4 linked regions of the Coturnix japonica genome follow. The protein of the gene in region 1 purifies or fractionates together with the protein of each later gene. This does not show direct contact. Links are inferred from orthologs where the notes say so. Each region holds a gene or a part of one and is shown on either strand. Other genes may lie near its edges. The genes, in order: HDAC11, ATG2B, TFIP11 and PAXBP1.

Region 1 (4,149 bases):
TAACAGCTTTATTCTTGAAGGAGAAAGTAAGCATATGAGGATTTTCATTGGTGACTTTTCTAGAAGATAATAGGAAACAGCACAGATCAGGAGTTGCTATAGAGCTATAGAAAACCGGGAACGTCATAAGGTACCCCGTGGCTTTTCTCTTTTACAGTGAAATGAGGGTTAAATGTTTGGGAAAACTAGTTTTTCGTGAAAGACAAGTGTGAAGAGTAGAAATTTCACACAGAACTGGAAAAAAAAGGCTACATGGGGCAGGAGCAGAGAGGCAAAGGTTCTGATAGTAAAGATCATCAGAGGTCAGATCGAAAACATTGCTAATAAATGGTGTTGGAAGTCATTTAACCTCAGTTAAATGAATACAAGGGAGCCTAAAGTAGGAAGGGCAACATTTTACTGAGAAAGATCATCAGCTGAATTAGTCCCTAGACCCACATGAGCTGCACAGGCCTGACTCTTGGACAGCCTTTGTTTTGGCAAGTGTTTGGGGGGTTTTTTGTCATTTTTTCCCCCCGTCCAATTTGATGAGAAAACTCACATTTTAGATAAAGGCTTTAAAGGCTCTGATCCTAATCTTAGTCCTCACATTTGTATTTCCTTGAGGTATTTGTCTACATTTTCAGATTTATTTAAGAAGTAATAATGAGCATCAACACAAAGTTCTTGCCACAAGAGGGGTTTCAAAGCTCCCCCAGAGATATTATCTAAATAGTATCATGAGGTTGAGAAAGATTGAGATAGGCTGCGCTGATACACGCTTAAAAAGTGCCATTTACCAGTAGACTACCTGCAGTCTCATGAGTAAACTACATTACAGCCCACAGCAAGGCAGTCATCAACAGCAGAGGTTTCCCAAGTCAGACATGCTCTAGCACATTGGCTAGAGAAAAGTGTACATGGTACCATGGTACTCTCAAACTGCACGGCAGGTTTTGCAAGCCAAACTGAAAGCTTGAAGCTAACACAGGAAGGATTTGCAATTTTGGTCAGAAAACTAAAGTCTGCATTTCATTTTGGATGCTTAGTCCTCAAAAAGAAGGAAGAAACTGGAATTGAAAACAGCATCTGTCTTCAAGAGGAAACTTAATGGAAATGTTCTCATACATTTGTACGTACACTGCAAGAAAAGGCAAGAATCATCATAACTCTGCTGAAGTCAAAACACAGCACTGAACTATGCACATACGGCACCTGACTCAGGCTGTGATTTAAGTCAAGACTCTGGTGCTCACTTTAGGGGTAGAAATTTTTCTTATTCTACATGCATCTTTCTTGTAAAGGTCAAACTATGAAATTCTGCACAGTTCATGCTTGTCTTCAAATCCCAAAGCCCAGAAATATTTTAAGATTGTCTAACACATTGCTATGCTCACGTTTCTCCTTAATCCTTTTTATTCAGCCCAGTAAAAGTTCTAGGCCAGAATGGAGTCCACCAAGCTGGTTACTCTGACTAGTATTATTCACGCCGCTGGGAAGAGTAAGTTGTATAATGAGCTTGAATTTTCAGTCACATTTCATGAGTTTCACTCTGCACAGACACCATGACTGAGACAAAACTGGGCTTTGTTCAGTGGAGCGAGCAAGAACCTACATTTCCAAAGGACTGTGAAATAAACCTTTGTATTACAGTGCCCTGGTGTAGGATGCTTGCTCCAACAATTTCATCTGTTTAATGTGCAACATCTTCAACAAAGTACAATACAGCATTCAACCCACCAAACAAATTCTGCCATCAATTTAACTTCTTTGGATTTAAGTCTACACATACTTAAACATATTAAAGCACTCCAATGATTAAAGTGCATAATTTAAGTCTATACAAGGAGCAGTAATGATGTAATTAATTATTAGCATTAATAACATTGGTTCATTCGAATGTTGGTCTACGTGGTGGGGTGTTTTTGTTTGTTTTACCTTTCAAGAAGTTGATCACTTTTCCCCATTTCCCTGCATCAAACGGGTGTAGTTTCTCCAGTCCCATGAACGTGATGTTATAGTCTGGAGAATACACGATAGGCCAGCAAGTTGGTGGAACACCTTCATATAACTCGGTTCTGTGAGGCCTTGAAAAGCAAAAGCCAAACTAATTACCATCTTTAGTCAATTGCTTATGCACCTGAATATTTTTCACTGGATTCCCAAGCTACAAGTCCTTAGCAATCACAGCTTTACATCAGGAACAGCTCCCGAGCATCCCAATCCCCTTAGTTACAGACAGGAGCACCTGTTTGTTGCATCACAGTCCTCAGTTCCCAGCAGCACAGTCAAAACTCTTAAAATAATTAGCAAGAAGGAAAAGAAAGAAAGGACTAAGGAATGTACTGTGAGCGCATTATGCACATGTACTTTACTGCAGACATGAATTAATGGAAACATTTGCTTCTCTCTCATAGTCTTCCATGATCACTAAGCCCTGCCTTAGAACATAACTTTGAATAGAGGTGTTTCCAGGCTCATGTGCAAACACTTTTGGCCAGTCAGGCCAAGCCCAGAGGTAACCCCGACTGGGACACGACGCTCACACCCAGGCTCTGCAGTGCCAGGGCTCCCGGCACCCTACACCCACCCACCGCCGGGCCCCGCAGCCGAGCAGGCCTCCGCCGGGCCTGAGCGCGGCCCAACCCTCATTGCGGCCCGCTGCCGGCACAGCCCCCACTACAGCACCGGGCTCAGCCCACCCGCAGCCCCCGGCCATACTCACATCCCCACGCCGGGCTGGGGCGACCCGTGAAGCCGCGCAGGGGGAAGGGTCGCCCCGCGGCCAGGCACCGCCAGCCCCAAGGCCCGCCCGCCGCGGGCGGAGACACGGAGGGGCCGGGCCCAGGCGGGCGGGGAGGTGGGTGGATTCGTGTTGGGCTGGCACTGCCCAGGAGGGAGCTGAGCTCTAAGGCAAAAGGCACCGAGAGTACTTGAAAAACCCTGCTTGAACGTCCACAAACAGCATTTCTTATGCAACTGTACAGCTAAATCAATAGCACCATCACGAGAAACTGCCCATCTATAGCAGCAATATATAGTAGCTGTGCACACAAGGCACAGAAGCACTCAGGAAGCACACCGCCCCTTTGTGAAAGCTGCAGATAAATATCTCACCGTTCTAAATATGCCAGTTTAGGCTGGCCTTCGTTTTGATGGATTCCTGGATGTCATTAATAGTGCAGCAGGAGCCCATTATCCCAACAAAACATCCCATCCCTTTGACATTATCTTTTAATTAAGCTTTTTGTTCCAGCCCTTTGTGCATGTGCCTCAGTGTTAGTTCAAGCATCCCCACCTTTAATCTTTGTTTCTAACCATCTAATGCTGGATGCTTAATTAGAGTCCTAGTGTTGTTTGATTCATTAGTTCCAAGTATGTTATTTCATTTTCATTTAAACTAACTCCTGAACTTAAATTAAAAAATCACATTTGCAGACAGGCTTCCTCATTTGTCGGTATGGTAAATTGCTCTTCAGGTGCATTCTGCCATTTAGCGTTCATATAAAAGTAAGAAAATTAATTACAGTCCAGCTTGTACAGTGCATCCATGTTATTTTCAGACTGATAGCTCTATTTTTGCAAGACAAAGGGAAAGTTTTACCCCTTTTCATTTCTACTTCTTTAGAAACAAAGTACAACTTAAAAGGTTTTGACAATATTATGGATAACAGTGGTGCTCTGTGCTAAGGGACTTTATTAATTGCTGCATACTCGAAAGCACAGACATATCATTGTTATAACAAATAACCAGCAACTTATTAACTCCCAAGGTTGGCCTATTTAGTTTGCTCTTTATCATCCAGGAAATCATTCATTTCATGTTGAAAACCATAAAAAACACCTTTGGGAGGGGAAGATTCCTTTGCAAAGGGAAATACTATATAATATGGCTTCAGATTGATTGATTTTTCCCCCCCTCCAGATGACAACCCTGGCCTTCTCAGAAACTCTTTTCAGGCTGTTGGTGTGATTTGGCCTCTTTGAAAGGATCTACCCGCACAGATTCATTTGAAGAATGGTGCTGGAGTCTAATTTACTAGCAGAGCCTTATTTTGGCAAATAGAAAGATGTGTCTGAATAGAGTCCTGTAGGAAAGAGACTGCCTGGTCAGGCCACCTGTAACTGTATGTTTATTACATCTGCTTATATAATTTGTTTCATATTCAG
Region 2 (4,212 bases), on another chromosome or scaffold:
GCTCTGAAGAGTTAATTCAGGACTGTGACACTGTCCCAAATCCTCAGAAAAGAAACTTTTTTGCACTATAGAGCTTTCACTGCAACTGAAAGAGCCAACTATAAAACCCAGTATATTCCTGCCAATACACACGCACATAAAAGGAACCCGCTTCTTTGTGCTGATTCAGAAGTTCAACAGTTTCCATTTTAATTCAATAAGCACCACCAAGGCTAATAAAATAAACAAAATCGAAGTCACATACCAAATTTGGTGAGTGCAACTTCCTACACAAGATCCTACAAAAGATGTGGTTGCAGTCTTTAGATATACTATCTGACAGATAAAAACGTGTGGGTTTGACCTTCCTGTCTTGAAGAAAACACTGATTTTTTATCTCAAGAAGTATAAATTTATGATTAACACACAGATAAGGATTTTAAAGACATTTTCTATTTGTTCCATAGAATCAAACATAAAAATGAAATGAAAAACTTCAGGAAACAATATCTTTCATTACTAAGTCTTCAGTTCTACTTGTCACATTCACTTGCTGCTCTATTTATACTCTTAGTAACTTTGCTTTTAGATTGTGTTTACTTTTCCAGTTTCTGTTCCAAAGTCTATTCAAGAAGTAGAAAAAGACATTCACTGCTAACAAACAGGGCCTGAAACAGCTCTGTTAGGAAGTTAACAATCAAACTGCTGGAAGGATTCAGTGACATTAAGATCTTATTTTCAATTAAATGTATTAATCATTAATAAGATAATAACTGAAGATTAAAAAAAATACTTAGCATGAAAAACTTATTTGAAATAACCACCAAATAAGTTAAATTACTCAGACCTTTATAGATAAATTTGCTATAGAAGGAAGTAAACTACTGAAACCGATTTTGAATAAATCTGAACTCTGAAATCTTTTTGCTACCTTGCAATGAAAATATTTAAGTATTCTCCATTACTTTTAAACAGGAATTTACCATTTTAAAGGAAAAACAAATATATGTATATGTGTGTGTGTAAATGTAAAGCATTTTTCTACTAATTGTTCCTGTAAAAAAGAGTTTGGATCATTATAATGTTAATTCTAAAGGTGAAGCACAGTGTTTTCATCAGGACTTGTTCTCACATGGATTGAACACGCAGAGCTGGAATCACAGCTGTACCACCAGCTAAAGCACTATTCAGTGTATATTATAATTCAACCACAACTTTTCTAAACAACCCAGAAAATAAAGAAGTTACAGCAACAGTCCCAGGCATTCCTGCTATCTCTATAAGCCATAAACACACGTATAATATTGGCTAAAATACCTACATTAAGATGAGTAAAAGTATCCACAAAAATGGATAAGCCAACTAGCAAGCCACACTCATTCTGATGATTCATCGAGAACCAGGTTACGATGACTAGAGGAAAACAGAGCTGCAGTACTTCCATAACATCTGTTTTGCAATCTGTCATACAGAGAGTCACGTGCAGAGAACCTTAAACGTGTCATTCATTGTTTACAAGTCAGAAAGACAAATACTGATCTACAAAGGGGAAAGATAACCTGAGTATCAGCAAATATGCATTTAATCACCCTGTATACATAATTAACTATTCATTTAGTACTGTCTTTATGTACTGTACTGCTATGGTTTCCAAGCATTTATATTGTAAATAATGAAGACTGCTGTGACACCCACTAGAGGGCATAACGTTTCAATTAAAGCCTCACACAAGACAGGAAAGCAAACAAAAAAACCTCTAAACAACAGCAAAACCTACATTAAAACGCTGGTCATGCTGAGCATTTCAGCAAAAGTCTGTCTTCTGCCACTTTCAAACATACTTCATATAATAACTGGAAAAGAACTATGGGAAAATCTGACATTTACAAGCATTTTAAAATAACACAGTATACTAAAAACATGTTTTGAAAGCAGCGTGTGAAGCAGTAAGCCTGCGCACTTAATCATATATGCTGCCTTGAAAGTCAATGAGTGACGCGCACAAGCGCTTAAGGCTCCTCATGACAGTCTCTGGACTCACAGGTACAACAAAGTAACATTAGTAATTAACCCCAGAAACTTTACGAAATACTACAATGAGGGACACAGAACTTTGTGTTACTACGTTAGGCTGGAAGAACACATACGTGTGTGTGTACAGTTGTATACATACAGATACACGTTTATATATACACACATCAGGACTGAATAAAGCTTCGGCTGGCTCCAAGCATGGCAGCCCACCTGCTGAGCACGCGCAGCTGAAAGCAGCTTTCCATTTCCAACACAGACCTCCAGCATTTCAAGACCAGGCTATGCAGAGGTCTAAAACCAGCCCCAAGTTCAGCACAACACTGTCAGTAAGAGCTAAGCCGCATCCAAGCTGAAGACAAATGGTAGTTAAAGCAGGGATCGCTGTTTATGTCATCTCTGCTAGCAGCGAGTACACAACATTCTCGGCAGGCACAGGAGCAATTGCTGGTAGCCCGGGTAATATTAGCTCCTCCTTCTCCCTGCCACCAATTCTCGCCTTCCTTTAGTTACAATGCCAACACTGTTCCCCCTTTCCTCTCCTATCGTCAAAAATAACAACAAAACCAGGTCATGGGGACAGAGCACCGGGCGGGTGCAGCCGAGGGCAGCGATCAGCGGCTCCCTCGGGCACCGAGGCGTCTCTTACCCACTTGTCCAGCGGGACCTGCGTCAGAGAGCCGGTGCCCTGGTAGAGATCCAGGCTGAGCTGTTCCAGGCTGAGCTTCTCCTGCAGGAAGTGGCCCAGGTACCTCTGCAGCAGATACCTGCAGGCCCTCTTCTTGATGGACTCCGAGAACGGCCACGGCATGGTGGCTGCGGGCCGGGAGCCGCGATCAGGGCTGGGATCGGGGCTGGGATCGGGACGGGGATGGGGCCGGGGCGGCCGCTCGGAGATGGAGCGTGCGGAAGCGGCCGGGCCCAGTCTCGCCCCTCAGCGCGGGCTGCCCGCAGCCGGGATCCCCCAGCGCCCCTCGCTCGGCCGGTGGGGCGGCACCGCCTGCCCTCAGGCGCCCACAGGTAGCTCCATCCTCACTCGGCCACCGCCGCCGCCATCTTCCCGGCGCCCCGCGAGCGCGGAGGGGACGGCGGCACCGCACGGCACGAGGGGTGGCGGCGGAGGGAAGGGACCGGGAAGCGGCCGGGGTCGTTCCCCGCGCCGGCTCCCGCCGCTGGCACGGCCGGGTGAGAGCGATGCGAACCGCTCAGCGCCTTCCACCCCCACCACGCCGAACCCCGTCACCGGCACCGTGACGCACAGCGGAAGTGGCGTCTCCGAGCGGAGGAGGCGGAGGCGGAAGCGGCTGCGGGAGGCGCCGAGTGGGGGGTGGTGGCGGCGGCGGCCGCACCGGAGGGGGGTCAGTGTAGAGCCAGCGGGGCGGCCGCGCTTCGGCGGGACAGCGGGCGGCGCAACAGTGTGGAGCTGGGCGCTGGGGCTGGTAGGTGGAACGCCTCAGGGCGCGGTGGGAGGAAGGATTCCGGCCCTGCTGCTCGGCTGTGATCTGTGCGTGCTGTGAGCGTCGGTACATCGTAGCAGTTCTCCGAGGAGCAGAAGCTCGGCAGCTCCGCGACCAGCTCTCCCGTTAAAGGGAGATGGCCGCGAATCCTGCTCATGTCTGACACTGGTGGGCTGTGCTGATAGTTGTGCGTGAAAACCGAGTGAGGGAGTCGTTGTTTAGCGAGGCTGAACAGAAAACTGCTGTTATTTTTGCCCTCGTAATGGCTGATAACCCATTTAGTTCACAGGCCCTCCTAAGTCTTATTTAAATTCACGGAAGACAGGTTATTATTTACAACAGCCGCTTGTTAAAGCTTTTTCATACCTAATTTGGTTTTCCCGGTGCTTTTGGGATCAGCAAAGTGCTGAATTAGTTACTGCTGAATCATATCGGAGTCTTATACAACACAGCACGAGCTGCTTGCATAGCAACTCCTTAAGTAATAATACTTCACGTGCTGATGTAACCTGAAGGTTCTCAGGAGCTTTGTTTTGGCTTTTCTGGATCGCTGCAGGATTCATTAGCTTTCATATTTTATTTTTTTTATTTTTATTCTTATTTCCAAAGGTATATACACCTACTTAGGATGTAGCTCTAGCTCTATGGTATAAATGTACTATACTGACCATACTCGGATGATGAATCTAAAACAAATGCTTCCACATGCAGAATGGAAACTGACTGCAGTCCTATGGAGTTGACC
Region 3 (4,141 bases), on another chromosome or scaffold:
TTCCCAGGGGTACACAGCAGTACATCAGGATATCCATGAAAATAAAAACACAACCCTCAAATTCATGCCATAACCCACGTGCTACATCAGTGTTAATTGGTTCTCCCTTTAGAATCATAGAATTACCCAGGTTGGAAAAGACCTTGAAGATCATCAAGTCCAACCGCAGCCTAACCAGATGCCCTAACTCTAAAAACCCTTTACTGACCTAATCATATCCTGAGGCACCACATCCAAACGGCTCTTAAACACAACCAAGCCTTGCGGCAATATCAGGAACCTAACACCTTGGAGCCTATTCAGCACCATAACCCTAATTCTGTAAAAGGGAAGTATACTATACTAATCCACACTAAACTTGCCCACATCTGGCGACAAATGAAGGCACATTTCTTTCAGAATAGCTCTGTTTATACCGCAAGAACCTCAGAAATTATCCTCTTAGAGCTCACGACAAACAGATCATAGTATCCACTATCTACAACAGAAATTCACTACAAGAATGACTCCAGAGTGAGGACCGTCGGCAGACCTCAAGGAATCACCCCCACCTGCCATAGCAGGGCCACCAAAACAATAACACAACTTACATAGATCAGGTAATGCCCAGTGGGACCCCGCTTTACCACCTGCCTTGGAAACACTACTAAAGACGGGCGCATCCACAACCTCCCTGGGCAGCCTTTTCCAGGGCCTCAACCACTCTTACCTAGCTTAAAGAACTTCCCCCTAACATCCCAACTGCTAATACTTCCTCTTTTAACTTAAAGACCTAATTTCCCCGTAGTCCTGCTATTGATCAGCCCTTCCAAGAGCTGTTACTCCCTTTCTGGGCAGAATAATGTTCCCTTCAGATATTGGTGAAAGGCTGCAATGAGGTCACCCCGCAAACCTATCTCTTCTCCAGGCTGAAACAAAGCACCAACTCGCCTCAGTATTCCCTCTGCGCTCACTCACTGTTTTTTCAACTGTCTTCGGCAACTATTTCCCATTTTAGGGATTTTTCCTCCATGGCTACTAAATGGGGCTTCTCATCTTCATCAGTAGATTCCCTTCCACACACCGAGACTCGCTCAAGCCCGCGCTCTCCGCCGGCTTCATTGAAGTTTCACCGCGGTGGGGACTCGGTCAACCACAATCTCCAGCCACTTATCGAGGGAGCGGTTACCTGTTTATCATTCCTCCGTATAGTGTAGAGACTGAACCAAAACCTAAGACCTGTCGAGTTCTTCAAACGATGCTTTCCATTGACCTCTCGAAGACATAACATCGGTATTCCTCCTCCTTGGTGAAGATTGAGCTGAGCAACGTGTTTTACCTGTGTCGCGCATATTGATAACACTAGGTTCTCAGGCGAAAGATAAAGGATTTGTGGGAACCACTAACTCCACTTCGAGCTGGTATAACCACGAAATTGTAGGCGTTATCTGATAACAGCTAGCTCATTTTCGATCGGTAAATCTCCAATTTATAGCCATCTTGGTGCTGTTAATAAGTTTTACCTGTATAGTAGTAAAGTGCTCTATGTGCTTGTTTACAAACGTAATAACTACTACGGATTCCTATCCTCACTTAAGCTGTACAGCAAAGGCAATACGAGCGTTTGTGAGACATAAGGGTAGAGAACGGAGTCATATATGTAATTTGAGACCCTTAAGAATCTAGAGGTAAAAGGCCTGCTATGTATAAAGAAAAGGGGGAATTGTAAGAGTGAGCAAGAGCCACCAAAATGGATGGTAAAGGTAACACTCTTGCATAGAATAGAAAGGGGAACTTTCACAGAAACCAAGACAAAGGGTAAACTGTAGATAGTGTACCATTCTAAAAGGGCAGGGAAAAGGGGAATTACAGACACTTAGTCGAAAAGAAAAACCAGAGAAGAGGCGGCAATAAGATAAGAAGTGTAAAGATTAGATACCCCCGGGCAAGGATGATCGCTGACATGGGAGAACGATACCAGCAGATAACACCAAGTAAGAAAAAAAAACAGGCAAGAATTTCACCCCAAAAACAACGGCCAAGGGTCACAGAATCACAGAATGACCCGGGTTTGGAGGGACCTGCAAGGTTCATGGGAGTTCCAACCCCCTGCCTGGCAGGGCCCACCAAACATACACCTTTTACTAGATCAGGTTGCCCAGGGCCCCGTCCAAACCTGCGTCTGAACACCTCAAGGACGGGGCATCCCACAACCTCCTGGGCAGCCTGTCCAGGCTACCACTCTCCTTAGTGAAGAACTTCGCCCCTAAACATCCAACCTGAAAATCTTCCTCTTTCAACTTAAAACCATTTCCCCCGTGTCCTGCTATTAAGGGGCGGGTCAGTTGGAATGGGTCAGGGGGAATGAAGGAATGGGTTGCGGGGAACGGGGAGTCATAGGGAACGTAATGAATATGTAATCAGAACTGGAGAGAGGAGACTATCTGATTATGTATTAGCTTAACCTATATCTATAACACACTTTATTATTACCCCACTATACCCCACAACCCAACCCCCTGCTGCCCTGACGCCCTTTGGGCCTATGTGACCATCCCCCATAGCCCGGCCCGGTCCATCCCGCACCGCTTGCCGCCGAAGCTGGGCCTCTCATCGTCCGAATCCCGCTCGGCCCACACGCCATAGGTGGCCTCCTCCTTGGTCTGCCGGTGGCGATGCCGGTGTGGGTTGAATTCGTTCTGAAGGTCCCAATCCGACACTTCGAAGTTCTCCATTTCCACTCCATCCTCCCCGTCCGTGCCGTATAAGTGTGACATCGACATGATGGATCCGAGCGACGACCCGGCCCCGCTCCAACCTACCGCTCTTTATGGCGGCGGGACGGAACCGAACCTCATCACTTCCGGCGACGGAAAAATACGTCACTTTAACCATGCCCTAACCATAGAGATGCTGGCTAGAAGGAACGCGCCCCTCTAGGCCCCCTGTCGAGTGAGCAGCTCCTCGGGAGGTATCCCGAGAGGCAGCTCTGTGACATTAAATCACTTCTCTAGTCATGAGAAACGAATCACAGAATGACCCGGGTTGGAAGGGGACCCTCAGAGGATCATGTAGTTCCAAAGCCCCCCTGGCCTGGCAGGGCCACCCAAAAATTACACCTTTACTAGTCAGGTTGCCCCAGGAGACCCATACGACCACCCATAAGATCGCCCATAGAGACCCATAGAATCCCGCATAGAGACCCCATAGATCCCCATAGATCAGCGTTAGCCCAGGCACGTTCCAACCTGCCTTGGAACACCTCCAAGGACGGGGCATCCACAACCCTCCCTGGGCAGCCTGTTCCTAGGGTTCAACCACTCTCCCTAGTGAAGAAGCTTCCCCCCAAACAATCGCAACGCTAAATCTTCCCTCTTTTTAACTGGTAAAACCATTTCCCCGTGTCCTGCTATTGTCAGCCCTTTCCAAGAGTTTACTCGAATGAGTGCAGCCAGGAGTGAAACGATTGACCTCATATATTAATTCTTAAATAGAATCTGTCAATGACAAGTGAACGGAAGAGACAGTCCGCCGCATTGTCACCTGTACAACAAATGCTCTATACACGGTTATGACACCTATTCTGATCTGCACGTATAAGGAACAGCATTACGAGACACTGAAAATAACAGGAAATCTCTTTTCCAATGCACTTTGGAGGGTCGGTCGTGCTTCATTTCCACAGATCTTTCACCACGGAGCATCCAGCGAAGGGAGACGAGTGGTATCGAAGTGTACAACGTTTGGCCTTTGCAAATAAATGCAAATACATTCCTGGCACAGCAGTCATTTTGGCAATATCAGCAAGCAATATGCTTGGATAACAGATCTCCATCGGTGCAACTGCAAACTCTTCTTTACGGAGCCACCCTGGGCCGTTTGCAGCAGCCTGCAAGGGAAGAAACAGTCTGAGCAGTCAGGAAGTCCCAACAGCCAACTTGAAAACCACTGTGAGACAGCAATTGTTGGATGCTGAGCTCCAACCCCTGCGTGATGGGCAACAGCACCTGTTTGTACTCAGAGCCTTTGACACACAAACAGCTGCTGCAGAAATCAAGGAGAGCTGTTCTGTTCTCCCAAGCTGGCAGCAAACACCACCACCCCCTTGTGAAATGCACACAGGGCACATCCCCCCTTCTGCTGGGGCTCAACACACATACAC
Region 4 (3,562 bases), on another chromosome or scaffold:
CAATAGAATGGAGATATTAACCGGTGTTTGCATACAAATAACAAAGCACAAGTATTGCAATTGAATCATTCAAACTAAGTTACCTTGCATTTCTTTTCTCTACATCAGAGCAACCAATGCTGTTTCTGTAAATTGTATCAGCCAGATGAACAAGGTATCTACAGAAGTTTTCTAGCTGAGAAATAGTCTTGTCTCCTTTTAGATTAACAAACCACTGTTTAGGAAAGCAAGCAATTACCTAGACAAAACAGGGGGAAAAAAAAGGTTAAAAAAAACCAAAACAACAAATGTTAAAAGTTTAATGCCACAATCTGTGAAGTCACCAGGTAAGACTGTGTCTACAAGACTCAAGTGAATGTAACAGGAACTCCCCTCCACCTCCATCAGTTCCAAACTTCAAGCGATAAAACACTGAATCTCTCCAAGCATAAGCCAGAGAAGCTTCTCTTTGGTTCATCAACACTACAGTATTTAGATACCAAAACCAAAGTTTCAGAGGTAATCGTGAGTTTTAAATACATATTAAATATTTTGTTTGATATACTCACACTTTGCGCCTTCTTAATGCTGTCATCTCCATACTCGGAGTTTTGAAAAGCCATAAGAATGTATCTATTCAGTAGGCCATCTATTGACAGCTCCTGGAGGGTTTTGTTTGAAAGGATTCCATACCACTGGAGAAAGTTTCCTAACAACTGAAAATACAGTACAGGGAAAATAATAGTTTAAATTGTCATGAATCTTTAAAGTTAATCAAGTATCTACAGACTCTTCAAGTGCAGCAGCATAGCTTAAGTAAAGCAAAAAGAATATGCCTTCTGATAGTTCTAAACGTGTTCAGAATTCATAAAGTAACAGCTTAGAGTGTTATAAATTCTTGTACAACAACCATCATCTAAACGTTGCTTATGTTTGCCCAAAGAACCGTTGAAAAAGCCCCTAAAGTTTCAGGTCATTTTGACCTCAAAATGTGATGTCAATATCAAGTCAAGCAAGACCTAGCATATGCCACACAGGGGCAAGTCCACAGCCTCTCATCAGTGAGACTGCCAGGCAAGCTGTCAGTGTGCCCTTGTTTCCAAGGCACGCTCAAACAAAAGGCACAGAAACTGTCTGAAGGGAAGTGCTGGCTAAGCCAACAGTACAGCTGTTATTCCCCAGCGGTATATACACAGCCTGTGGAAAACTGCTGCCAGCTTTGTAGAAGGGAACACAGCTGGCAGTACACTGTCAAAGCAGATCATCAGAAAACAGTAATAAGGGACTTGCTTCCCAGCTTCTATCTCTGATCTTCTGCAATGCTATCTGTACCTGCCTTGCAGGTACAGTATGTGCAGCTCTAAATGGCCCATGCTCCAAAAAATATTGCCAGAAATGGGCAGTTTCATTCTTAAGAGACACAAGCCATAGAAGTGTTAGCACTCTTAACAACAACATTCTCATAAATAAGCTTTATGCCCTTCTTGCTCTGGGCAGCACTTAAGAAGTTGACTTCTACTTCAAAGAACTCAGTGCTGAATGTAGTAAATGATGTGAATGCAAACCCATTCAGTGTAAGGTCTCCCTCTCTTTTAAACAGCAAAAAACCCAGATAAAAGTTGTTTGTATGACTATGGAATTCAGCAGTTCAGTCAGTGTCTCATACTTGCCTATTTAGCTGAGTTAACACTTCCAATAGAAGGATAAAAATTACAACAGTTACAGCTTCTTATAGACCTCTGACAACTCTATGGAGCACCTTCCACAAATGGACATTTCTTTCACACTCTTCATCATTTCAAGTAAACTAAGATGAGAGCTGCTTTATATTTTACATATATCAACAGGTTTTCCAGAGGGATATAGAGAACTGTCCGTTTATCTAAGTTATTTTCATGAAAATTCTCATGCTACTTAAAGAAATACAGAAAAAAATCCTCTCATTACTACAGAAGTAAATTAAATTTTTTTTTTCTTTTTTAAAAACAAATACAATGACATTAAAAAACCTTGGTCAACAAATATGCCAAAGAAACCCACAGTGTAAAAATAAAAACGATGCCCTTTCGCTTAGCAGTTTTTTGAAGAGGACACAGCGTGTTACAGAAGGCTAAGAACCCTACTTCAGAGTTCTTTCAGCTAGAGAGAAAGCCATTTTCCATCTACCATTTTCCACAAATATGAAGGGGATTTTATTGCTATGCTGACTGCACCAGAAATTTAACAGATGCATTTAGTGACTTACCTTAACAGAGGACCAAAACTGACGTTGGAAGAACAAATATGGACCAGAGTTCTTGTTTTCTAAGACGCTGGAAAGTAAAAGATTTCTTTCATGAGCAAACACTGTCACTTCCATCTGAAGTTTGCTGACCTCCTCCTTCCCAAACAAAGTTCATTTCTATAAATTCTTCCATTTTGCTTGTTTTCTGATAATTCCTCATGGTAATCAATTTGTTCCCACATACAGCCAGTGAACAATGCAGAGGTATGGAAAAAACCTTACCAATGCCATGGTCAGAAGACACTGACCTGTTAATAGAGAAGTCTAGTACCATAGTTGACAGCAGACTTACTTTTTTGGATATAAGGGCATGAATACATCATCATCTAGCGTTCTCCTCATTCTTAGCAACAATGCCTTTAAAAGCATCTGAAAGAGATTTTTATTTTTTTTTTAATAACAGACATTGTAATGCTTAGTAGTTAAGCACTCAGAAATTCATTTAAAAACAATAAAGAGCATTTGTGATCCTAAAATTTCACAGAGCACGGACAAGCAGACTAACAAGTCTTAGTACATTTGCTATCTCTAATTAGTCAACAGAACATCAAATAATTAAACAAAACTCCCAACAACTACATTTTGACCCTCATTAAACATGCTATATTTTTCCCAATATAGTGTATTACAAATACACTCAAATTCCTTAACGTTATCCAAGACACTCGTGAAAAAGAGCAAACTTACTTGTGTATTTTTGTTTTCAGCATTAACCACTGAAGGATATCCATTTACTAGTTTTTGTACAATTGCTACCATTCTTGATGTTTGTGTTGTAGAAAAAGGATCCCATATATTTTCAGAAATCACTAGTAAAGAGATAAAAGAATTACTCCATTTTGCAAATGCTCAAATACAGATAGAAGGACAGTAATTTACAAAGCAGTAAAATCTAATGGCATAAATAATCATCGACTTCCTTCTCCTCCCCCTTTGTTTTTCCTAAGATTATACCTGTTAATTTAGGAAGAACAACTCTCTCTACAATAGTAGGTAATAGTGAAATATCAGCATCGTCTTTTTCTTGCTCCTGTTCTTCACAGCCATAAAAGAGCAACGATTCAAACCACAACATAGTCTCAAAATCTTGACATTTGCCCTAATAAAATGAATTGAGAAGATATTAGCTTCTTAAACAGACATTTGAAGTCAAGACATTAAAATAAAGAATAACAGCCAAATGAACAAATTCGTTGTAGAATCACACAATCACCAAATCACATGAAAGTGAAAATGGTTGAAGCAAGACTACTTTTGTGGGCAGCTGCTGCCACCCAACGTATTTTAACAACTAACTAC

Evidence for each region.
Region 2: the proteins of HDAC11 (region 1) and ATG2B purify together in Homo sapiens (co-immunoprecipitation; 3 studies listed by BioGRID and IntAct, counting the BioPlex papers as one, with this or other methods). This does not show direct contact. The link is inferred for Coturnix japonica from reciprocal best matches to the Homo sapiens genes HDAC11 and ATG2B.
Region 3: the proteins of HDAC11 (region 1) and TFIP11 purify together in Homo sapiens (co-immunoprecipitation; 3 studies listed by BioGRID and IntAct, counting the BioPlex papers as one, with this or other methods). This does not show direct contact. The link is inferred for Coturnix japonica from reciprocal best matches to the Homo sapiens genes HDAC11 and TFIP11.
Region 4: the proteins of HDAC11 (region 1) and PAXBP1 purify together in Homo sapiens (co-immunoprecipitation; 3 studies listed by BioGRID and IntAct, counting the BioPlex papers as one, with this or other methods). This does not show direct contact. The link is inferred for Coturnix japonica from reciprocal best matches to the Homo sapiens genes HDAC11 and PAXBP1.

What each region holds. Positions count from the first base shown.
Region 1 is NC_029527.1:3,871,216-3,875,364, reverse strand, and holds the start of HDAC11 (histone deacetylase 11), read right to left. Parts: upstream 2,855-4,149; 5' UTR 2,707-2,854; coding exon 2,705-2,706; intron 2,067-2,704; coding exon 1,918-2,066; intron 1-1,917. UniProt on the Homo sapiens protein: Responsible for the deacetylation of lysine residues on the N-terminal part of the core histones (H2A, H2B, H3 and H4).
Region 2 is NC_029520.1:42,141,042-42,145,253, forward strand, and holds the start of ATG2B (autophagy-related protein 2 homolog B), read right to left. Parts: upstream 2,822-4,212; coding exon 2,660-2,821; intron 1,397-2,659; exon of another isoform or gene 1,373-1,396; coding exon of another isoform or gene 1,301-1,372; intron 1-1,300. Other genes in the region: GSKIP (GSK3B-interacting protein), read left to right, coding at 2,796-3,449, 4,077-4,094. UniProt on the Homo sapiens protein: Lipid transfer protein required for both autophagosome formation and regulation of lipid droplet morphology and dispersion.
Region 3 is NC_029530.1:6,267,164-6,271,304, forward strand, and holds the start of TFIP11 (tuftelin-interacting protein 11), read right to left. Parts: upstream 2,855-4,141; 5' UTR 2,763-2,854; coding exon 2,566-2,762; intron 1,822-2,565; coding exon 1,818-1,821; intron 1-1,817. UniProt on the Homo sapiens protein: Involved in pre-mRNA splicing, specifically in spliceosome disassembly during late-stage splicing events. Intron turnover seems to proceed through reactions in two lariat-intron associated complexes termed Intron Large (IL) and Intron Small (IS).
Region 4 is NC_029516.1:94,521,125-94,524,686, forward strand, and holds part of PAXBP1 (PAX3- and PAX7-binding protein 1), read right to left. Parts: intron 3,363-3,562; coding exon 3,218-3,362; intron 3,073-3,217; coding exon 2,951-3,072; intron 2,633-2,950; coding exon 2,556-2,632; intron 2,292-2,555; coding exon 2,225-2,291; intron 696-2,224; coding exon 549-695; intron 239-548; coding exon 84-238; intron 1-83. UniProt on the Homo sapiens protein: Adapter protein linking the transcription factors PAX3 and PAX7 to the histone methylation machinery and involved in myogenesis.